Linked DNA regions of Neodiprion lecontei. The protein of the gene in region 2 purifies or fractionates together with the protein of the main gene of each other region. This does not show direct contact. Links are inferred from orthologs where the notes say so. Each region holds a gene or a part of one and is shown on either strand. Other genes may lie near its edges.

What was found. Proteins that work in one complex are often made in the same cells at the same time.
Region 1: the proteins of splicing factor 3B subunit 1 (region 2) and DNA replication licensing factor Mcm5 purify together in Homo sapiens (affinity purification with mass spectrometry; 4 studies listed by BioGRID and IntAct, with this or other methods). This does not show direct contact. The link is inferred for Neodiprion lecontei from reciprocal best matches to the Homo sapiens genes SF3B1 and MCM5.
Region 3: the proteins of splicing factor 3B subunit 1 (region 2) and serine/arginine repetitive matrix protein 1 purify together in Homo sapiens (co-immunoprecipitation; 3 studies listed by BioGRID and IntAct, with this or other methods). This does not show direct contact. The link is inferred for Neodiprion lecontei from reciprocal best matches to the Homo sapiens genes SF3B1 and SRRM1.

What each region holds. Positions count from the first base shown.
Region 1 is NC_060266.1:1,281,956-1,291,138, forward strand, and holds DNA replication licensing factor Mcm5, read left to right. Parts: upstream 1-3,033; 5' UTR 3,034-3,200; coding exon 3,201-3,355; intron 3,356-3,809; coding exon 3,810-4,065; intron 4,066-4,196; coding exon 4,197-4,369; intron 4,370-4,453; coding exon 4,454-4,791; intron 4,792-4,861; coding exon 4,862-5,208; intron 5,209-5,295; coding exon 5,296-5,729; intron 5,730-5,803; coding exon 5,804-6,075; intron 6,076-6,138; coding exon 6,139-6,368; 3' UTR 6,369-6,397; intron 6,398-6,401; exon of another isoform or gene 6,402-6,472; coding exon of another isoform or gene 6,473-6,521; intron 6,522-6,611; coding exon of another isoform or gene 6,612-7,006; intron 7,007-7,070; coding exon of another isoform or gene 7,071-7,187; intron 7,188-7,258; coding exon of another isoform or gene 7,259-7,462; 3' UTR 7,463-7,627; downstream 7,628-9,183. Other genes in the region: cilia- and flagella-associated protein 36, read right to left, coding at 934-1,191, 1,273-1,326, 1,382-1,727, 1,801-1,988, 2,110-2,285, 2,384-2,492; 1,5-anhydro-D-fructose reductase, read right to left, coding at 6,473-6,521, 6,612-7,006, 7,071-7,187, 7,259-7,462, 7,637-7,801, 7,935-8,082, 8,775-8,803. UniProt on the Homo sapiens protein: Acts as a component of the MCM2-7 complex (MCM complex) which is the replicative helicase essential for 'once per cell cycle' DNA replication initiation and elongation in eukaryotic cells.
Region 2 is NC_060262.1:17,197,022-17,203,808, reverse strand, and holds the start of splicing factor 3B subunit 1, read right to left. Parts: upstream 4,387-6,787; 5' UTR 4,164-4,386; coding exon 4,136-4,163; intron 3,819-4,135; coding exon 3,640-3,818; intron 3,513-3,639; coding exon 3,426-3,512; intron 1,296-3,425; coding exon 1,169-1,295; intron 1,147-1,168; exon of another isoform or gene 2-1,146; intron 1-1. UniProt on the Homo sapiens protein: Component of the 17S U2 SnRNP complex of the spliceosome, a large ribonucleoprotein complex that removes introns from transcribed pre-mRNAs.
Region 3 is NC_060260.1:24,701,264-24,708,310, forward strand, and holds the start of serine/arginine repetitive matrix protein 1, read right to left. Parts: upstream 4,057-7,047; 5' UTR 3,900-4,056; intron 3,816-3,899; 5' UTR 3,726-3,815; coding exon 3,714-3,725; intron 3,626-3,713; coding exon 3,536-3,625; intron 2,514-3,535; coding exon 2,391-2,513; intron 606-2,390; exon of another isoform or gene 1-605. Other genes in the region: uncharacterized protein LOC124293066, read right to left, coding at 6,630-6,712. UniProt on the Homo sapiens protein: Part of pre- and post-splicing multiprotein mRNP complexes. As a component of the minor spliceosome, involved in the splicing of U12-type introns in pre-mRNAs. Involved in numerous pre-mRNA processing events.

The sequences.
Region 1 (9,183 bases), on a different chromosome or scaffold from region 2:
AGTGATTTTAGTACTGCGTTTTAAACATTAAAGAAGAAAAGACGATCAAATCCAGCCCGAAACTACGGCATAGTACACTTACATGGGCAGTGAAGAGCGTTATCGAAGGGGAGAAAATTTTTATTTAACATCCCTTTTTTTTTCTTCTCTTTTTGTTTAACGAATGATTGTAAATGAATACAAATTACATGAATGTGTAGAAGCGCGGTGATGAAAAAAAAAGGAAGAAAAATTTAATAATAATATTGGTTAATGATAAAATAAGGAGGAAGAAAAAAAATATTTAATTAAATAAATCTTAAAATTAGAAAAGAACTTGGATTAATTTTCACGCTCAATTCCCTTACCCGATCGGGGTGCATTTATTTAATTATAATCACCCGTCATTCTGGCAATGATACATTTCAATGATATGCCACCATAGCTTTGTATGTTAAAATTGATACGAGTACAGAATTCGGTTGTGAATCGAATACATCTGCAAAAAGGTTACAAAACTGTATGCATGTGTTAAAAAAATTGCTTATCATAATATTTTGATAAAATCGCATTTAGTAGCTTTCTGAATAGCAATTCATCTGTAAGTGTTCGTCGTGCGTATAAACATCCATTTGATACTATCTTTGTTCACAAGCCATTGACAATATTATTGAAAAAAATCAGCTTAACTGGAAACCTATTTATTTTATATGTAAGATTCATAATATCGCTACTAATATCGTCTTAGTTGACATTACGATAAACAACGTCTATTATTATCATTAATATCATTAATGCTATTCTAAATATTGGATCATCATAGTTTAATGTTTCTTTGTCTTCGAACGAAGATGAAAAAAACATTTTAACTTGGACAAAGAGTGAAAATTGTGTACACCGAATGGTCTTTTTAAAAGAAATTGTTCATATTATTTCCAGTAACGTGTCATTTGATCATTTGCGGACTACTTCGGCTTTCAGTCTGGCTGCGAGAGCCTTGCGAACTTGAATTTTCGAATCTTCCATCAAGAGTTGCGGCGACTCCAAGTCCTGCATGCCCATCATCGACGCCTCTGCTACCACTCGTGCCGATCCGGGACGAGCCGCGTTTGTCTTCAGACGCTGACTACGAGCCTCCTTCTTCATTGAGACCAGCTTGTCTCTCTGAGTTTTCAGGTATATTTGGCGCTTCCTAATCTCCTCCTCACCAGCCTCGAAACAGAAGACAACATATAAGAAGAAGAAAAGAATGAGGCTTCAATTGTCACTTCGAAAGTTGATGTCTCCACTCACATCGGACAGTTTGCTGCGGCTCGCCGCGGGCAGCAGTGCAGGATCCAAACTCTGCTACGAAGAAGGAACGAATTGAATTTCAATAATGCATGGTATATTTCTTACGTACTTTTCTGTCACTGTTTTTTGTCACCAACTCAATTTCTTCTCCTATTTTATCTTCGCCTGGTTTTTTCAGTTTTTGCGGTATCGGTTGCAAAACGCCAAACTTCTTGGATTTCAAAGCTGTGTTTGTCAGCTGGAGAGGTTCAACGCTGACTACTTCTTCCGTTTCTCGTCTCTCCTGCTCTGGCGAAAAACCCGACGACGATTTTGCCAATGGTTCTTCCATCAGTGCTCGCTCCAGCAGCTGTCTCTCCGTCTTGTACTGTGTCGCCAAACGCTGGTGCTCCCTACGCATTGCCTGATCCGATTCCTGCTCCGTATTCGTTTCATCCTCAAGCTTGTACTGTTTCCTGAAATTGAAACAAACTCGTCGTGACCTCGCAGCCTCACGTCCATCATTCTTAATTTTCAATCTACACCCACTGCAGCAGCTCCTCCATCACCAGTTCGTCCCGTAGACAGTCTTCATCACATATTAGCGACGCTGGAGTCAGGCCGTACTTCTGTTCAATCAAACTCAGTGCCTGCAACTGGAGTTCCAAGTTCTTCTGAATCATCATCCTCTTAAATATCTCGTACTCGTTTGCAGCCCAGATCTGCTCGAAGAGACTCTGCAATTGCGTTTTAGAAGGTTTTATAATTTTTAACATTCTCTATCTCGTTTTGCATCGAGAACTATTTTTACTCTGATAGAGAAGAGAAAATACAAGTGAACATCGAGTGTTCGTTCACCTGCTGAAACTGTATCGGCATTTTTGTGTTCTTGTTTAATGTACAGGCATGCTCAAACTGCTCGGGAGTTATGCCCATGTCCTCCATGTAGCAGCCAAGGAGAAGATCTACCAGGTTTTTATACTCTTGGTAGATGTGGCGATACTCCTCGCTGTCCTCCGTCTCACCGTCGAAAACTAAAAGGGGAGCAAGAGGCGTAAAATGAGTCAGGCTAATCGATAGACGTAAGTAGCATTGAATTCTTTTAATGTAATGGCAATCCGATAATTCTTACTCAGCGATTTTTCTTCTATGAAAGTTAACAATGGTGCCGACCAGATCGGACCCTGCAGAAATCCCACCAGCGAATCAAACACCCAGGAACTGTCATCCTTTTCACTCATAATTATTTTTTTTATTCAGACTTCTCTATCAACCTGTCACTACCGTAAAATTTGTCATCAGACTTCTGTAATGTCAGGCTTGTCGCCATGGCAACAACATCTAAACATTGGTAGTGAAACGTCGCAGCTGACACAGTAGCAGTGTTCAAATCGGAACATTTTGCAATTTCTTGATCCGGAGGGATATTCATTAAAAAAAAAAATATGTAATTTAGAGAATGCAATTTTTTCGGTAAATGCAAAACATCGACACTTTGTCAAAAGAAATGATCATGAATAATTATTATAGCAAGAATATTTGTCATCCAGTTATAATTATTTAATTGTACGCAAACTCATAGATGAAACTTAAAAACAAGCTTGAAGCGTTACCGGTAAAAGAAATTCTTTGATGATATAATTAATTAGTCATATTGATTCATTTTGAATATTTGAAACATGCATTTTGTTCAAGATTCAAAAATGTCTGGTCGTTCTTCCCGCTCCTTACAGGATTCCGATAAAATAAAAAATGGCGACTATAGAGCCAATCAGATGACGAAAAAAAGCCGACATGGCCGACGACTCGCGATTGGTTTTTGTTTTCCCGCGAAAAAACGGGGCCTCGTCAAAGTTAACCTAACCTGACCTGTTGTTTGTGCATGTTTCGCGTTACAATAAAAATAGGCGTCTGTATAAAAGACTTGTAGTTAGCGAGCAATAATAACGATGGAGGGGTTTGATCGGCCAGATACATTCTTTGTGGAACATTTTTCGACCGAAGAACCGGACGATGGAAAGCAGCTAAAATTAAAACAGTGCAAACAGAAGTTCAAGGAGTTTATCCGGCAATTTCACGAGGGCAATTTCAACTACAAATATCGGTAAGCTTTCTCAGCTAAAATCATACATCATACGTCATATCATGTTATAATATCATATCATCATATCATATCATATCATACATCATCATACATCATACATAGTATATTAAATTAAAATTCGGAATCAAAATTTGGATATTCGGTTGACAAGCACTCCGTAGTTCTGGCTGTCCAGGTCCTTGACCTGGTGATTTTGACCAAGTTTTATCATTGTTGAATTTTTTTTAATGATTTTCGTCTCAATTTAAGGGCATACCGACTGAGATGGTTTGCGATGTATAGAATTCATTGCACAGTCGTAGGTTCTTACGTCTATTCAGACGTATCCGACCCCGAGCGAGCTTTAGCGAGCGAGGGTTTTAAAGCTAGTCTTGAATGAAGATGATACATTTGCTCGATCGAAGATTTGCCAATAGTTTTTGTTATCGTTAGTTAATTTCGACGTCGTTTGCAGGGACGCCTTGAAACGGAACTATAATTTGGGTCGGTATTGGGTCGAAGTGAATCTCGAGGACTTGGCTGCATTCGATGAATCCCTCGCAGAGAAAATATATAAACAGCCCCTTGATTATTTACCAGTTTTCGAGGAGGCTGCCACTGATGTTGCTGACGAACTCACCGCACCTAGACCTCAGGATGAAGAAAAGGTCGAGGACATTCAGGTTCTCCTTTCATCCGATGCAAACGCTACTCCTTTCAGGGGGATGAAGGTACGCGCATGTAGATTTATTTCAATCTCGTGCAAAACGGTGGTCTTCTCAATTTCAACGTTGAATTCCAGCAAAGACGATTGTGCTGCTGTGTTTTTTCTGCCACTAATACAAACATCTGTTATTTACAGCACGATGTTGTCTCCAAGCTCGTTAAAGTACCTGGAATCGTAATATCTGCGTCAGGAATCAGGGCAAAGGCGACAAGAATCGCGATACAATGTCGAACCTGCAGAAACGTCGTGCCTGACATAGCCATTCAACCAGGCTTTGAGGGTTACCAAATGCCACGGAAATGTAACACGTTGGTATTATTTCCTTGATCGCGATGAAGATAATCTACCTAACTCGAGTAAAAAGCAATTCTAATCATTTATTTTCATACCAGTCAGCAGACAGGAACAGCCCTAAAGTGCCCGTTGGATCCGTACTTCATAATACCAGACAAGTGCCGATGCGTCGACTTCCAGGTGCTAAAGCTGCAAGAATTACCGGACAATATTCCCCAGGGTGAAGTGCCCAGGCACTTGCAGCTCTATTGCGACCGCTATTTGTGCGAAAGAGTTGTGCCAGGAAACAGAGTCCTCATACTCGGCATTTATTCGATAAAGAAAATCGATAAGACTGGAGGACGACGCGAAACAAGGAACAAGGCAGCAGTAGGCGTTCGAGCGCCGTATATCAGAGTCGTGGGGATTTCCGTGGACGGTGACAACACTGGAAGTGGTGAGCGGTCGTTTAATTTTACCTTATTCAATTCTGAGCTATCATCTGATATCTTTCGTCACCTCATCAGGTACGCAAGCGCCGTTTACCGCGGCCGAGGAGGACGTGTTTCGCCGTCTGGCTGCCGATCCTGAAATCTATGATAGGATATCTAGAAGCATTGCGCCGAGCATTTTCGGCGCTGAGGACATGAAGAAGGCCATCGGCTGTCTGCTCTTCGGCGGCTCGAGAAAGAAAATGCCCGACGGCTTGTGCCGCAGGGGCGACATCAACATTCTCATGCTCGGCGATCCTGGAACGGCCAAATCCCAGCTCCTAAAATTCGTTGAACGCGTTGCTCCCGTCGCCGTTTACACTTCAGGAAAGGGTAGTTCGGCCGCAGGTCTCACCGCGTCCGTTACGCGCGATCCATCGACGGTGAATAGCTTTCAACAGTACCCCCCCCCCTTTCTTCCGCCTTTTTTTTTTGTACCCTAATTACAGCTGTTGATCGATATTCCTTAGAGAAATTTCGTCATGGAAGGTGGAGCGATGGTGTTGGCCGATGGTGGAGTCGTCTGTATAGACGAGTTCGATAAGATGAAGGAGGATGACAGAGTCGCGATTCACGAGGCGATGGAACAGCAAACAATATCGATAGCGAAAGCTGGGATAACGACGACCCTGAATTCGCGATGCTCGGTTCTTGCCGCAGCCAATTCGATATTTGGCAGATGGGACGACACCAAGGGCGAGGAGAACATCGACTTCATGCCTACCATATTGTCCAGATTCGACATGATCTTTATTGTCAAAGATGAACACGATCAGGCCAAGGATATCACACTGGCTAAGCACGTGATGAAAATACACACCAACGCCGGTCAGATCACCGAGCAACAAGCTGACGGCGAATTATCATTGAACCTAATCAAGAAATACATTCATTACTGCCGAACGTGAGTGCTTCACATACTTTTTCGAGCAGAGTTAAATTTTCGTAATCGTTTTTTAACTACTAATTGATTCATAGGAAATGCGGCCCAAGAATAAGCAAGGAAGCTGGCGAGAAGTTGAAGAATCGTTATGTTATGATGCGCAGCGGTACTAGGGAGCACGAAAAAGACACCGAAAAGCGACCGTCCATACCAATAACCGTTCGTCAGCTCGAAGCCATCATCAGAATAACAGAATCTCTTGCTAAAATGAGGCTACAGTCGTTTGCCACCGAAAATCACGTCAACGAGGCCCTCAGGCTCTTTCAAGTGTCGACGCTGGATGCTGCCATGAGCGGATCTTTGGATGGTAAGTTGCAAAAAAAATTTAATTGTATTTAACATGTTTCTACTTAAATTCGCGCTTGTTTAGGAGCGGAAGGCTTTACAACGGACGAGGAGCACGAGATGTTGACGCAGATTGAGAAACAACTGAAACGGCGTTTCGCTATCGGATCTCAAGTGTCTGAGCAGAATATCGTTGCTGATTTCACCAAACAAAAATATCCCGAACGCGCAATCTACAAAGTTATTCACACGATGATAAGACGCGGCGAACTACAGCATCGCATGCAGCGAAAAATGCTCTACAGGCTTTCTTAAACTACACGCCATTAGAGAGATGCACACAGGTGGTAAATTTTTTTAATGTTCGTTTTATTTTACAGTTCATTTTTATTACGGCAAGATTCTGAACTGACTATTTGTTAATGGTCCAACTCGTCCTTAAACGGGTAATGCGGATGTTTTTCGACCCTGAAAAAAGCAGGTAACAAGGGGACAAGTTGATGACGGAAATCAAGAAGAATCTTCGAATTGAAAAAAGTTTCACTTTTTTCTACTCACCCCTTGAAGAACAGAAAGTGAAAAATTCTCCCGTCCACACCGCGATCCAGCACGTCTAGCGAGTTCATCTCGGTTTGTGTTAGTTCGAAATCGAATAGATCGATGTTTTCCTTGATCCGCTGGGGACTGGCACTTTTCGGTATAACAACGACGCCCGCCTGCACAAGGTGGCGCAGCAAAACTTGAGCCGTCGTCTTGCTGTGAGCCGCGGCAATTTCTTTAACGACCGGATGACCCAGAAGATCGGGAAACTTCTCCGCGTTGTAATTGTACTTTGTTTGAAAATGAGTTTTCGCTCCGGGTGAGGCCAGCGGACTGTAAGCGGTCACCGCGATGTTGTACCCTTTGCACAGCTCGCGCAATCGCTTTTGTTGCTGATAGGCGTGGAGCTCGATCTGCGATTGAAATTATAACGGATTTTGTTCTTTGAAATTATAATATATTTTATTTCTGTTTTACCTGTAAGTTACTTGGTTTTATGTCAGCATTATCCCAAATTTCCGTTAATTGTTTATCATTGAAATTGCTCAATCCGATCGATTTTGCTCTACCATTTTTAACCTGTTTTTCCATTTCCTGTGCAAACGATGAAAGTTATTTTGAGAATTCACGGCTTGATTTTTTCTTACATCAATCATTTCTGTTACCTTCCATACAGAGACGGGGTCCGTGTTTAGATCCAGCTTGTAAAAACCGTCTGGATCAATCGTCGGAGCGTATCCATTGGGGTCCTTAACAAATGCAAATGGCATGTGGATCAAGTACATGTCTAAGTAATCAAGTTGTAGCTTTTCCAATGACAATTTGATGAACTTCTCAACGTCGCCTGGTCTGTTTCCGTAATGGGGGAGCTGCAAAATAATTTCAAACTATGGAAATATCGAAGTGGCGTAGCCGCAGACGTCCATGAATGTCCCGTACTCCGTATGTATTTTCTTTTCTATACTGAATGATATCTTGTACTTCATAAAAAAAATTAATCCGAGTATTCAATAAACGAAACAAGATACTCAAGAGATTCACACTTTTGACGTAATGAAGAGATCGCGACGTTGACCGCCCTTGTCAAACCATTTTTTCAAGCTTCGTCCAATGGCCTCTTCATTATTGTAATTGAAAGCCGTGTCGATATGCCTGTACCCGTTTTCCAGCGCGGCTTCGACGGCCTTTTCAATTTCCTCGGGCCCTGACTGAAATATAAATATTTTTCGGGACTGTTATCAAATTTTATGAAATGATCAATTGACGATCTTTAATGTTTTTAGACCACGTGTCGCAAAATTTTTTGTGTTACAATTTACCGAGAAGACGTAACACAATCACCTGCCATGTCCCAAGTCCGACTGTCGGAATCTCGAAGTTCGATGACAATCGTATATTTTGCATCGCTGTTACAGCCGCCGGTATTCCCTTCGAATAATGCAGTGATAGGACAGCGGATAACCCGATTCCAAGTCCGGAAGTATTCCTCCTGAAAAACGTGTTGCATAACTCGATTATTTTTAGCCACGCTGGGCTTGTGCAAAAAATTATATGTATGTCTGTTCAACATAGGAGGGTATGCAATTTAATTTGTACCTAAATCAATAAGCGTTTCAGCTCCGATTTAAATGACGATGGACAGTAGGATCGGTTAATCACCGTTTTGTTGCCTGCGCGATTTACCAGGCAACGATTGCGATTTATACCGGTTACTAAGTATTGTTTAAATAACATTCAAACTACGTTGATCAATCTGCTTGTTCTATCGCGGATTCTGCGTTCCGTTAAGCGCTATTTTTAACCATCGTAAAAGTTTGATGTTTGCGTTTGACTAAGTTTTGAAATACTGGCGCCGCGCCAGTCCCTGACGTTTAACGGTTCGTCACGTCGACGACAGATGGCGGGTGAAACAAATTGCACTGCCAGTCTTGCTCTGCGCCGTGACTGGTTCAGGAAACACGCTTAGCCAATCATAGTACAGAGCATTAGGTGCTACTGCCATGGGTAGTGTTAAAAAAGCTCAATGATATATCAGCGAGAGGGAAAAACTGCGAATTACGTAAAGTTTTCTTCAACGCGTGAATTTGATTTTTCGTTTTAACGGATTCGACAATAGCAATTTCAATTGGAAAACAAAGCGAGACGCTTGAAAAGAAGTAACCAAATTCGGATCGTACACACCACATTCTGTTCGAGATGCGGTAAATCATCGTCAGCTATTCGAAAGAACCTTCGCCAAGACCCAACTCCCGAGGTTATGTTTCACGTCATTCCGGCTTGACTGGATATCCTCTTTGAAATCAACCATGTCGAACTTCAGCCACTTCCTAAGGGCACATCGGTTCGAAATCATCGCTTGCCCGGTTTTGGCTATTGAATTTTACATATGGTGGCGAATGCAGCAGAGCGAACATTGGGGCAGTAAACGGGAGCCAAGTGCAGGTGTAACTTCCTTGCAATTTGCTAAAAATATGTCAAACGAATCGCCGACCAAGGAAAGTGATTTGAAAAAAGCGCTTGATTCGCCAAAGAGTTGATCGAAATACGTATCCGCGTATCGAGGCTTCTTGTAAATGATCCATGTAGTTTG
Region 2 (6,787 bases):
CCTTCGACATAGTATCCTGGGTAAGTAGATGATTCCAAATGTGCAGACCGTCACTAAGATTGGAAAAAAATGTTTACATTAGTATGTATTTTCAAGAAACTCACTCGCTCATTCCATTCAAACCCCTTACAATTTTATTGTATCTTTACAGATGTTTCGTACTCATTGAATTCGCAAGATCCCTTCGGTTGGTCGTAAAGAGGAATGCATTGCTTTCTTCTGTGAAAGTCAATTGGTAATATCAAATTTGACTTCAAGATTTAACTGACTCTTCAAATACAAATGCCAATTTTCCTGTTTGATTTCATTAAATAGCCAAAGCACAACTAGTCATGTAGCAACACATGCATGGAACCTCAAGATGGTATTGAACAGTCTAATGAAAGACTTTTCACTATTCCAGAGATAAGGTTGACTTTGTTGAAATGAAATAATTCAGTTATCCTTTGTAATACAAATTATATCCATGCAAGAAATATCCAAAATCTAATTGCTACTGCACGATTCCAAACATGGGATCTTGTGGTCTTCGACATTATTTTGTTTTTTCCCAAACATTTATTGGCAAGAAATGTCAAAGTTGATTAACCTACTGTCACACGCCGCAGATTGTAGTTTTGGATAATATCTTCATGCTTGAAAACAGATAGGCCCATTTTTATTCAATGGTACATCATCAACCAGAAAAAGGATTTTCAAGTTTCAACAAGATTTGAAATTGCCCAAATTATCATATGATGATGAAAGGTACGAACAATAGCAATGTGAAAGTGATAAATTAATTAAACTCGACCAAGCAGTATTCAATGAAAGCACGTAAATGAAGCGACGCACGCTAAAGTATTAAATCCACCCACTCAATTATCTGATAGTTATGATGCCTGACAAATTTGCGTAAGATGTAAAAAAATGTTACATTTCCATCAATGAACAATTCTGCAAAACCCGATCAATTGTTGACTTCACGGTTGTGTAAACCGTATGCATTAGTCTTGAGACATCTGATTAAGTAAATAAATGAGGGGATGCATTAAAAAATATATTGGAAAATGAAGTCACAAAAATAAAATTGTTGTATGATGTACTTATGGGTATAGAATGTATAAATATAAATCACCTGCAGTGTACTTAAAATGTAATTTATAGCCTTACAAAAAATACTACCAACCTTCAGCGAATGGATCGACACGTTCTGGTGAGATGATCATGCGTCGTCGCTTTTGCCTGTACTCATCTTCTCTATCCGCAATTGTCGGTCGTCGTCTATCAGCAAACGGATCATAGTCCTTTTCACTCTATTCAAAATGAGCAAAAAATCTATTTCAAAAAGGCAAACTGAAGGGAGGTTTATGTGATACAAATTACAATAATCTCAATGTATCAATATACTCTCAGCACTCAACGAGGAGATGATCAAATAAAGCAAGACAGAGTATCTACTGAAATGTAAGAAATATTCCTTGAGAAATACAGATATTTCCAGGAAATGTAAAAAAATTTCTAAACATAATGCTTGGTCTAGATATGATGTTTACATGGCAATCTGCAAATCCGGGTCTTACAATTAGATAATATTAATGGGTGTAAATTGAATTTTCAAGAGCATCGTTATTAAACTGAACTATCACTTTCTATCTACCTGGGAATAAATGTTTTTATATAATCAGATAAATTCATGTGAAATTATAACGCAAATTTGAAAATATTAACTTAGATAAAATTATACAAAATCACGTGAAATCACATGCATATAGTTTTATATATTTTCATCAGGTCAAATTCTAGATATAATTTCATAGAACTTTCTCTGATCATATGAAAACATTTTTCCCAGGTAAGCTCAACTTTGATAAGATGCTAAATTTCCATTTGTAGATTAATACCGCAATTTTTCATATGAATGTCAACATTGATATCTTCATATTTTCAGTTTTCAAATTCTGAAAGTGATTACATAACCATTACTTAATATTTAACAGGATTACAACATTTAATTTATTGATATTGTAAAAAGTATCGATCAGGAATGACATGGTATCTTAAAATGACTTTCCCAAAAACTTGAAGTCAGATGAAGTATCCAACTACACTGCAAAACTGCCACACTTGGAGACAGTGTCTCAAAGATGAAGTTAAAGTTGATAACGATCATGTAACAATGAACCTTCAGGATAAATTATTATTTCATAACTTTGGCATTGTCTGAAATTAAGTAAGCCACAATAAAGCAAATCATACTCTTGTTGTGAGAACTCAACTGTTTCAAGTCTTTTCAATATTACAAGATAGTGATATCTTTATTAATGACTAAATCTTATTTTGAAAGCATGCATGGAGACGGAGCATATCCAGAACATCATTTTTTAGTTATGGATTGTGAAACAGTTGTACAGTCTTGATATTTTTAGATTTCTTATTTTTTTTTTTGGTACTATACAAACTGATGAAATCTGTTCATGTGAATATTTAATAGAAAAAAAAGTATATTCGCAAAACTCAAATATTCAATAACTAAAGAAAAAAGATGTTCAATGACATGGTATGCGTAACTAAAAAAAGGAATACTTTTGAAGAAAAAATTATTCAGCTGTTAAATATAATCATGGATTTTAAAGGAGAAATAGCATGATGTGATTTAGTTTGATTGTAAGAGGAACCCTTAGTTTTAGTTTTTTCATAGAGAATTTTTTCTCTTCTCGGGCCCCATGACAAGGCCATATATCTAGGTTCGACTATAATGCCAATGTAATAGAACAATGAACACGAAGTCACTATTTTACAATATTAAAATAACTTCAAGAGTTGAGTTTGAAGAATATGAGTGTTTTCTGCATTGTTATAGTTGGCCGAATTTCCGACAACCCTAGTTATAATTAATGGTTTTTACAAAGTGTAATTGTTACATTTACATTACGAATTTCAACCTTGTAGAATTAGGTGCTTCTAAGCGATTGCGGAAACCCCTATGAATTAAAAAAAAAATCAGATTGGAGAGGAAACATTCTTAACAGGTTGTGGAATATTGTGAAAAATATTGATAATTAGATAACACTTGTTATTGAAATTAAATACGAGTAGTCATACAGGAAATGAAAAATTAGTCACATTTTGAAATAAATGGAAGTATCATCTTTGGTCCTGCAATTTAAGTAATTCCAACTATTTCAATATGACTGATGTTACATAACCCCCTCATTGACCCCAACCCTTTTGCGCCGCCTCTCCATAAATTTGGCAAATGGAATGTATCGGAAAACTTATGAAATAGATCAATTTCAAATCTTAAACGGACAGTTTCTCTATAGTTACAAAATGAACAATTTTTACAATCCTGTTGGACCTCCTGAGACAAAAGCAAAACTCGTTTACTTATACTGCAAGTTTTGACGGTCTGGCATTCGAATTTTCAGTAAACCATTATTTACCTGAGCAACATCATTAAGCAGCGCTGCCGGAGCATTGTAGCCTGGCCTCTTGCTTTGACTAAATGTACTTGGTTCATAATCTTCATCCTGAAAAGAATATTTTGATCAGACTTACGTATACCTGATTATTTCAATTCTTCATTATCCCCATTCAACCTAAACTATTTCAATTTTGTTTGGCAATCCGTTTTTGCGAATAAACATAGATATTTACCTCAACCTCGTCATTAGCTGCAATAGAGGTGACATAACCATCGTATTTGTTGTTGCTACCATCGTATATGTCCTGATCATAGAATCCAGTCTTTCCCAACCCTACTTGCTCTTTTTCAGTCAGCTCTTTATTCTGTATCTCCTTTTTCGATTGTATTTCACGGATCTGAGCTTCGATGTCTGTAATGCATGTAAAAGGTCATAACGGTGTACGACTGTAATACAACTATTAAAAACTATATACCAATTATAACCGTCAACTGTTTAAGGTGTGTTGTGTGTATGTCGGCTGACTTTCTTACAGAGGATATATTGCTTATTTAGGTGTGTGCCGGGAGTGTAAATATTCGGCGAAAATATGCAAAGAAATGAAAGTGTGCATCATCAGTAATACAATACAATATATTGTCAAGCTTCGTCGGCGCGACGTTATCAATTCAACATTCTCAGCTCAGGTCATGCCTCGGCTAGCGTGAAGTCTAATTTGCAAAACCTACCTTCGTGGGTTCGTGGAATTGAATCCATGGCTTACAGCCTTCTGCGCACTATTTTACAAATATTGCTTCTTTTATACTGATCGAATAAACAAGCACTTGCTTCTTCACAAATTTACGATTGACCGACACACACAAGGCAGAGAGAATCTGAATCGACTGAACAGGTAATAACCATGGATGTGGGTGATAACAGATTTACTACGATCAATTAAAATGGCGGGCAAAGCGTTCGGTTTATTTCATTATTATGATTTCTTGTGCTGTCATTTGATAGCGTTTTCATTACTTCGTGGCGTTTTCTCATGCGAAGTCTGCATTTTCATGGGCAGTAAAATACCGCGGAAGGACTTCTGCTGCCTAGTTCTTAACCAATAGGAATACCAATAAAATAGGTAATTCGTATTCAGTATACACCAGGAATGCGTTCCGATCACGTTCCGATCCAAACATGTAAAGTCGTGGTTCCGATGCGTTAGCTCGCAGTGCTGTGAGGAATATTTTATAGGTGCGTTCCGGAATTAGCTGGTAGCGCTGAAAACTCCCCTAGGGCAGAGACAAAGCTACTTACGAACTCGGCAGCGCAAAAGAAATAAAGGCTTGTCAACAGTTAGTTTCGGAACGCACCTCTATTTATAAATAATAACACCCGTATTCATAGTCCCGCCTTGTCTCAAGGATAAAGGACGCCTTGATGAAGGCTTCCTTAATCTCAGAGGCGTCCTCGTTTCATAGTCACAACTTGGCTCTCTCTTCCAGAAAGAAGACATATTTAGGGATATGTGATTGCTTATGGTGGTAAAACTGCTGATCGAAGCGCCACTCGGCTATATTTAAATCTAACTTAATCTGCTTGGCTCTCATTGTCAAGTTGCGTCGGTGATGAGAGTGTGTATAACCTCAAAGAAGTTAACCTGTAGACTGGCTGTGATCCTGCGTCATACGGGTCATAAGTGCATAGACGCCAAGCGCAAGCGCAAGCGTTGGCTACATGAAACGAAACAGCCAATCGCAGTGCCGAAGATTTCCTCAAGGAAGCTCGAGACCTGCCTTGAAAGAAGGAGGCCAATACGGCTACTCTGTCGAGGAAGGTCTATGAAACGTGAAATCAACCGACGCAACTTGACAATGAGAGCCAAGCGGATTAAGTTATATTTAAATATAGCCGAGTGGCGCTTCGATCAGCAGTTTTACCACCATAAGCAATCACATATCCCTAAATATGTCTTCCTTCTGGAAAGGAGAGCCAAGTTGTGACTATGAAACGAGGACGCCGCTGAGATTTAATGAAGCCTTCATCAAGGCGTCCTTTATCCTTGAGATAAGGAGGGACTATGAATACGGGTGTTAGCTACACTCGAGAAGCCGACGTACCTCCCCAGCAATCCCTAGTACACTACCGTAGTTCTGTTTACACTCGCGAGTGTAGAGTGTAGCTAGCACGAACAAACCTGATAGCTCTGTTCGTTTTAGTTACAATTTCTACACTTTTTACACTTTCCTTAGGAAAGGGCACCTTCCATTGGCTAAATTCAGGGTAAGTGTAAAAAAAGTGTAGAAAAGTGTAACTAAAACGAACTGAGCTACATATACATGTGGGGTATGTTCCGACATACACTGCGAGCACTGTAAGGTGTGACGTCAATTTAGTATACTGCGAAGCCGGTCCTTTATAGTTAGCTATACTGGTTACTGTTTAAACGGAACGCAGTACAGTATACTGTGATCGACATTTTTTGGCGTTACTTTCATTTCATACATCATATTTGTTTCACACTGCAATAAACACAATTTATTCAAATTTTCCATATTTGTTTTTAACGACCGGTATTTTTAAATGACAATATTCAATAATAATAATTATCAATAGTGGAAGCTGTTAAATTTCTGAACGCTGTTGATCACGTGAGCAAAGCACTGATAGCACCTTACCTCGAAAACACCAGTGTTCAGAGTAGAAAAATGACGACGATTTATGACGTCATTTATTTCCCTAGGATACTGCAACTGTATACTGTCAGCCTATTGGGAAATCTGCCGGGGGCGTGGCTTCTCCTTGCGGCAGAAGCAGTAACTATTCTAAAACGCATTTTTAAATCAGCTTTCGTGTTCTTATGTGAAAGCGTGTATTTATTTACAGTTATTAAACTCGAATTTTCAAAAAAAATTCAATAAAATATGAAAATTTCAATACAAGAAATTTGTGAGTTTGCAAATACTCAGCCTAGTCATAAAAATTTTATTGGTGGTAAAGATATACTTGATGCGGGACATCTAATGAAATGTGGCCTACAGCAATCAGATACTAGTTGTGATAATGAGTATAAAATAATTGCATTCTGTCTCCAAACTTCTCGTTTAAAAGATCCACCGCATGAAGTTGTGGGTGCAATATCGCAACATTGGCTGCAATGGAAAATAAAATTTAATGTTTATTGTTTTTTATTTTTTCTGACAAATATTACACTACAAAAAATATCATTTCATATTGATGATAAACAAGTAATTATGAAATGAAATTCTATAGGTAATTACTTACATGTTGGTATGAAATCATTTTTGGCGAAATGTAATGAAAACACTTTTTTTGACTGTGTAACCTCATTCCCAATTTTCAATGCTTTTATCCAAGCTAATCGACGATCAATTACTTCA
Region 3 (7,047 bases), on a different chromosome or scaffold from region 2:
AGTTGAGATCGAACAGCAATAGTTCAGAAAGTCCCTTCCCCCCCCGTTGACTAAAGAAGAGCCGCAGGTGTGTCTTCAATGTTGGGTCGCTCTCATTGGTCAACGGTGAGCCCTGACCAAGGCCTGCAGATGTTTGTCATCTTTGGAATGAAGGGAAACTGCCGGTGATAACCAAGGTCCATGGTTCAAGGCCACCAAGGCCTTTCTGCTGCGTCGACAGCCAGTCAGTTGAATTGCCTCGGAAGAGGCAACTCGGTTTCCACGAAGAGGTGGTGCACGCGTCAACATGACGCAAAGCCTTGATTGAGGCTCTCCAGGATGATGAGGAACTCGTTCGCACGGACAAGATGTTGCAGTAGAAAAACGTAGCTGGTCTCTGGGTGACGATGACGGGGAATGGTGACTCCGCTAAGGCGGAGGTTGCTAGATGGTGAAGAATCGGCAACTGCGGCAGCTGTCCTTAGCTGCTGATGCGATGTGGTACGACGTAGAAGACGGATCACGCTATGGTTGACGGTTGATAGAAAGGCGGCCAATCGGATGCAGAGAGGAACACATCCGAATGCCATTGGGACAAAAGGGTTGAGCCCCCGCAACGGTTTCTACTTATAATAATGGGGAATTCAAAGAGACGTGATAAGACTTGTCATATATAGTGCAATTCAACAATTTTCACCTACGCACTTCACTTTTTTTTTTATGTCAAAGTCTGCTTTGTTTTGTTAAATCTACCGCTAAGATCACTACATTACATAGAAGGAATGATACTTCCAAATTTAATTATTAAGGCTGTTACATGATGATGTTGCGATAAATAAATTTCACGTCCTTCAGAAAGGCAATAATACGTTCTGCTTCATTTTTTCCTTGCTGAGCAAGAAATGCATTGTTTGACCAATGAGTAGGATGTTTATGAGTGTTTCAACACCAAATTAGCATCCCAAGATTCATTCATTGTAATAGTAGCAAATTTAAGAATTTAAAGCTATTAGAAGGTGCGAAACTACATCTTATTGTCAATAATATGACAATTCTAGGTTTCTCAGACATGAATGACAATTTTGATCAGGACAATTCTGAAGTTACACAAAATGACGATGCATCAAAAAAGTACAAAACAAGTCTAACCAAATTTGCTAAAATCATACAACTTAAACCCTTCGAAACTTTAATCATAAAGTATTTGCCAAAATGTTTTCTGTAATCCATGATAAAATTCTTGAACTGGAAACATTCATATCAAATCAGGTGCTACATAAACGATGAATTCATTCCAAAGATATGTGGGACTTTTACCCGAAATATGGATTTATGCTTTCACAGTTCGAGTGTTTTAGTTGATTTGAACAATAAAAATCAAAACAAAAGTAATCAAATCATTAAACTGATTTTTATCAATGATAATACAATTATTATTTTTTATTGCGCAGTAATTCTCTTGGTCAGGGGCCATATCAGACAGACTACTGTAAATTTACAAGATTGAAGTCAGTGATATTACTGTAACAAAACATTGAAAAAAAGATTACTAGGTTGCAATTGTAGATTGACTTCGAAAAAGTTTAGTTTCCAAAGTATGAAAAATTTTGCCTTACGATGTACTGAATTTCAAAAAATCCCAACGTTACAGAATAGCGTATTTTGAAAAAAAAAAATAATGTATTATTATATTAATATTCCAAACATCAACCTCATGTCTATTTATCAAAAGATCTTATAACGTGGACTGATTGTTTCAACTATTTTTTGAATCTACGCTCAATTGGAAGAAAAAACCAATGTATTTGTATAATATTTACTAGAAAGACTGTTCTTTGAGCCCTGAATTTATTTTTCTGCGTTATAAGTATGTTTTTAAAATTAAATGACTGGTGTTTTGAAACAGAAACAGAGATACTCATATTTGAGATGTGGAAATACATCATTGGACAAATTTCTTTGAGGAAACATTCTAGACATGTGATCGCCATCGCCATTGCCAAGCGTTTCTTGCAATTTTTATCGAACTCCATGATTGTGTACAGCAGAATTATTGAGAAAACTGCATACCATAATTCAGTTATCACCCAACAGAATTACTGAGCCAAATTTCTTCGTTGAAGTTATTGAAAACTTAATGAAAAACACCTTACAATTATCGGTTTGACATTTTTGTAACTGTCAAGATGAAGTGCACATAATTCATTGGTACGAGCAGCTGAGTGTGATCGCATATCTTTTTGTCCGGACTATATCTATGATAATGTGTGTCAAAGTAAATGTTCTATGCTGAGGGGAAAAAGCCGAGTATACAAACTGCTTATTCAATTATTTAGACCATTCTATCCATTTAAATCAAAAAGAAAATAAGTAACGATTTAAAACAAAAAGGATATTCTAAATGTTCTTACCTTTTCCTCCAGCTGGTTGTAGACGAACTCAACCACTACATCATCTTCCATGCCAAGGATCTGATTTATTTTGGTAGTAATCCAGGGCTTAATAACGTCCAATTTTACTTTGCTCATGTCTACCTGTAATTTGAAATTATTTTTTTTCAATACTCGTACCGTATCATTCACTTTTGATTGAAATAAAATGATCTAGTAACCTACTCACAGCTAATAAAGTACAAGGTTGAACTTAGTAACGTAATTTATTACAAGGTTGAAGTTAGTAACGTTAACGTATGAAAAAAATCATTATTGCGCAATTTTAGAATAACTTTGAAGGAGTTGGCTTTTTAAAATAAGAGTATGTTTACTTGATCACAGTTTACTACATTTCAGACATTCCTAAAGGTGCAAAGTAATGATTTATCCTAAACATGCATCGTTACAGTAATGTTACCAACTTCATCCCTATAATTTATTGATGTCCTGTTCAAGTAGAGACAAGAAAATCACTAAGTTTTCAGTGTTAGCAAACTACGTACCAAGTGACGTTACACATGATTCGTTGACATTAATTCAAAATACATTACCGATATGCAATGGTATTGAAAGACGAAATATTGAAACTAATTACTGTCCGTTTACTAAAAGAAAGGTTAGAGATGAATCCTAAGAAACCGGATGAAAAAAATACACAAGTATTGGCTTGACAGTAAGATCGTCATTATAGAATAAAGGTTCATTAGATGTGATGACACATGACTATTGATAAGAGTGAATATGTGAATATGTTAAAATATCACAAAAGTGCCGCGTGCTGCAAGGGAGTTGCGTTTCATGTATATTTCACAACACTCTAAACGCGTCAGACATTGACAGCATGGTTCTTACTTCATGTGTATGTTTTGGATTTGGATTGCAACCGAATATAATAATTCATAAAAGCTTTGACTGCAGTTCAACTGATCTATGCTTGTCCGGACATCGGTTAAAAATTCAGGACACGTCCGCAGCATTAAAATATTAACGGAAAGTATTTCAGTTGTGAAAATTGACTGAAAGTGGCGAGTCACTCACGAGGGGCTTCGAATGAAACCCCATTATGAAATACTAATATATTTTTAGTTGGATCTGGAAAGTTCAATTGCTAAGTAGAACCCTACCTTTTGGGTTAGAGAATCACCAAATTTCATCTGCTTCAACAATTTCTTCTCCTTATCGCTGAACCGCGTATCCTGCGATGCCGTGGTCCCCTGTAAATACATATGCAAAAACAGTTAGTGAAGATAACACACAATGTAAAGATGTGATATTGTATGAAAAATACGCGCAAGATCTCACCGTGTACATCATCTCTGCCGGTTGTTACAATCGCTGCTAAGCCTGAAATTGGACGAGGGCGAAAGGCCTGCTGCGCGTTGTGTACGCTCGGGAACAGTAAACCTGTATTTTAAAGTTGCAGAAGAAACGGCATAATGACGTTGAGTCACTAGAAAATATAATTTTAGATGGTGGAGTGAAACGTACCCAGTCGATGATATTTTTAGCGACAAAATATGTACGATTATTTCGTTTCAGCACACATTCGCGAACAACAGTTGACTCTGCGATACTAGTCAATCTAACAACATGGCTAATGGCTGCGGCGATGCTGCTTACTTTTCCTGCTTACATTGCTGCCGCACGGTGTTGCCAGATGGTACACGTAATGCGTCTATTGGCCGACGACGGCGCGATCTACCGGCTATTTCCTGAGTTATTCTCTCTGGCCGCGGTTTGGGACCATAGACTTAATTAATTTGGAACCAAGCGCGGATTTGGACGGCTGCCGATCAGTCTGCTCAGTGGTCTGCTCATGTCCGCTCTGTGAGTTCGGTAAGATTACGTATACGGGAATCATTAGAAGAAACTTCAGAATCTAAACAAATGGATTCAGAAAAAATGGAAGATTCTCCACTTTGGTAAGTGTATAATATAGTTCGTTGTCGCCTTCACCAGCCAGCTTTGACATGGACAAAATGTGTCGTTTGGCCGTTTCAGAATTTTTCAAATCGTTCAATGCATTAATTAAGAGTCAACCGTGTCATGACAAATATTTCGGGAATATGTCCTTGCGCCTAAAGAAGTCAGATCGCTGCATCAGACACACTCGACAGTTTCATAGGGTTCGGACGCTATACTTTGTTGTGTAATGACTGGATTAATTCTCGTAAAAACAAAACCCGAGAAAATAGATACGAGAAAATATTACCCCGAATTATTCATTTTGATCAGAATATTTGTCATCGGTTTATCACGTTCTTAAGCAGTAACACCAGTCTCGGATTTTAGAAATTTCGATTTCTTTTATATTCGGCTTAAACAATACTTTGGGGTCATGAAAACAATATCCAGTTGGTCCTATAGTGAAAAAAAAATGTTAAAAGCTTCAATTCTCGTTTTTGCCACAGTGTATCGGAGCGCGCGCTGATCGTGAGTGCTCGTAAAACTTTAAACGCAATTTTTTCGAAACCACTTTTCAAAGTGGAAGGACAGATTACTTGAACACCGTTGTATGGATCGATTTGAAATTTTGACAATCGCTTCACAATACATTCTATATGGAATTACGTCGCCGTTTTTTTATTTAATGTAAATTTTGTTTTTTTTTCAATTTATTGCTTATTGATTGGCCAAAAACCTACTCATTTCTTTTCAAACGTGCACCATTTCTACAAAATTAGATTGAAAAAAAGCCCCTGCGTGCTTCCAGAACAATAGGATACATGTAGATTATAAATTTTTTTTATATCTTGTGTCAGGTCTTATAGTTTATGAGAAATCCATCCTCTCGTGAAGGAGTTTTAAAGAAAGGCTAAAAAATTATATTAGCCAAAAGTATTGACTTTTGACAGGTTTACTTAATGGTATTTCTTATGTTTTTATTTGACACCTTTATTTTCATCCCGCTTTCTGCCTGTGGACAATACTTTTACCGAATTTTGCGAGGAGAGGCCCTTTTATGATCAGTGTGCTTAATTGTTCCATCTATGGACCCACTTATAAACTGACCATTTACAATCTACTTTTTTAACATTGCATATGAAATATTGTACTTCCAACTTTTGTGAGTTCTTACGAATACATAATTTTTTGCATAATGCACCTGTTATATAAGAAATCAAAATTATATATGCAACCTCAATTTCACGTGATTAAATTTCAATAACTACTAACATAGTATCAATATTTCAGATGCCTTGTATGTGTTTATTTTCACAATTTTTAAATATCAAATTAGGTAACTGATTCATCAATTTAAAAAGATTCCATCAAATCGATTATCATGTGACTACTTTATAGGAAATTCTGATTTTTGACACGTGGTGTAGGTTTATGAATAGCTATACATAAACGTGTCTAATAGTTCGATGTTCGATTGCGCAACTTTGAAACAAAGCACAAAATCAACGCAGATAATTATCTGGCAACAAGCTAGTTGGTGGTGCAAGTGTGGAGGTCATTACCGTGGTGGCATACACCTCAGTCATGATCGGATTGTATGCTTTTCACTCAATGAATGTTGAATGAGGATTTGAAATATACCTGTTCAATGACGTGTCTCCTGCCATTAGATTTGCACGTCAAGTAATAAACCTAGACTTTTATTTGAATAGTTGCATCAATGAGGCTAACAGAAAATAAAACTCAAACATTTATTAAAAAATTTTTACTGTGCTTTCAAATTACATATATGTTGTTATGTAATACTAAGAAATACAAGTTCAGCACTCTTATGTTTATGATTATAACACAGCCACAGTTTGTACCAAAAATTACTTATATGCAACAGAAATAAAAAGTATGTTCGAATATACGTTCTTAGATAAATAACTAAAAAGTTAATTCATTTCTCATAAGTATTTGAATGTCCTACTGGCAGTTAAAATTAATTCTTGATCTGAAGAACAGACAGTATATTAAATGAAATTATATAGGTCAGATATTCCATTTGCAATTAATGAATTAGTTGCAGTTCAAGTTAATTTGATATTGTCAAATTATCAAATTCATATTAAATAAAAATAAATAAGTCAATTTAAATAATTAGTGAAAATTTAAAAGCAAATATCAATTATATTGATATACCTTTGAATGTGGACAATAATTTGCATAGATATCCATTTTATGACGAATGAATCATTCACAAATAGTCATTGATTATGATCAAGAACTTGCAGAGCACGATGCAGGGTAGAGGATGCCATTAAAATTTGTTTAGTACATAGAATACTCCTGGATGTAAATATGTCCATAGGGTTCAGCTTGAAGCAGTTTCACTTGTTTTGATTTATGCAGTTCTGAAATTCGAATCCAATGAAGAACCATTTCAAATTATCTCACCGAATAAAATATCATTACAGCAGATATAATTGTTTTATTTTAAAATTATTTACATATCAATAAAGGTAGAATCTTTGAATTATCGATTAAAATATTCTCTCTCCATTAATGTATTTTTATACAACTAGTTGAAAATTTAACTAATTCCATTTTTTGTAAATAATGAAGAATAACAGCATTTAAACTTGCAAGAAGAACTATTGGGCCCTTTTTTCAATAAATGAAAACTAAATCTTAAATTATTTAATAAATTTTCAGCTCCTTTATTCTTAGTTAATGTTCTGAAAGAGTC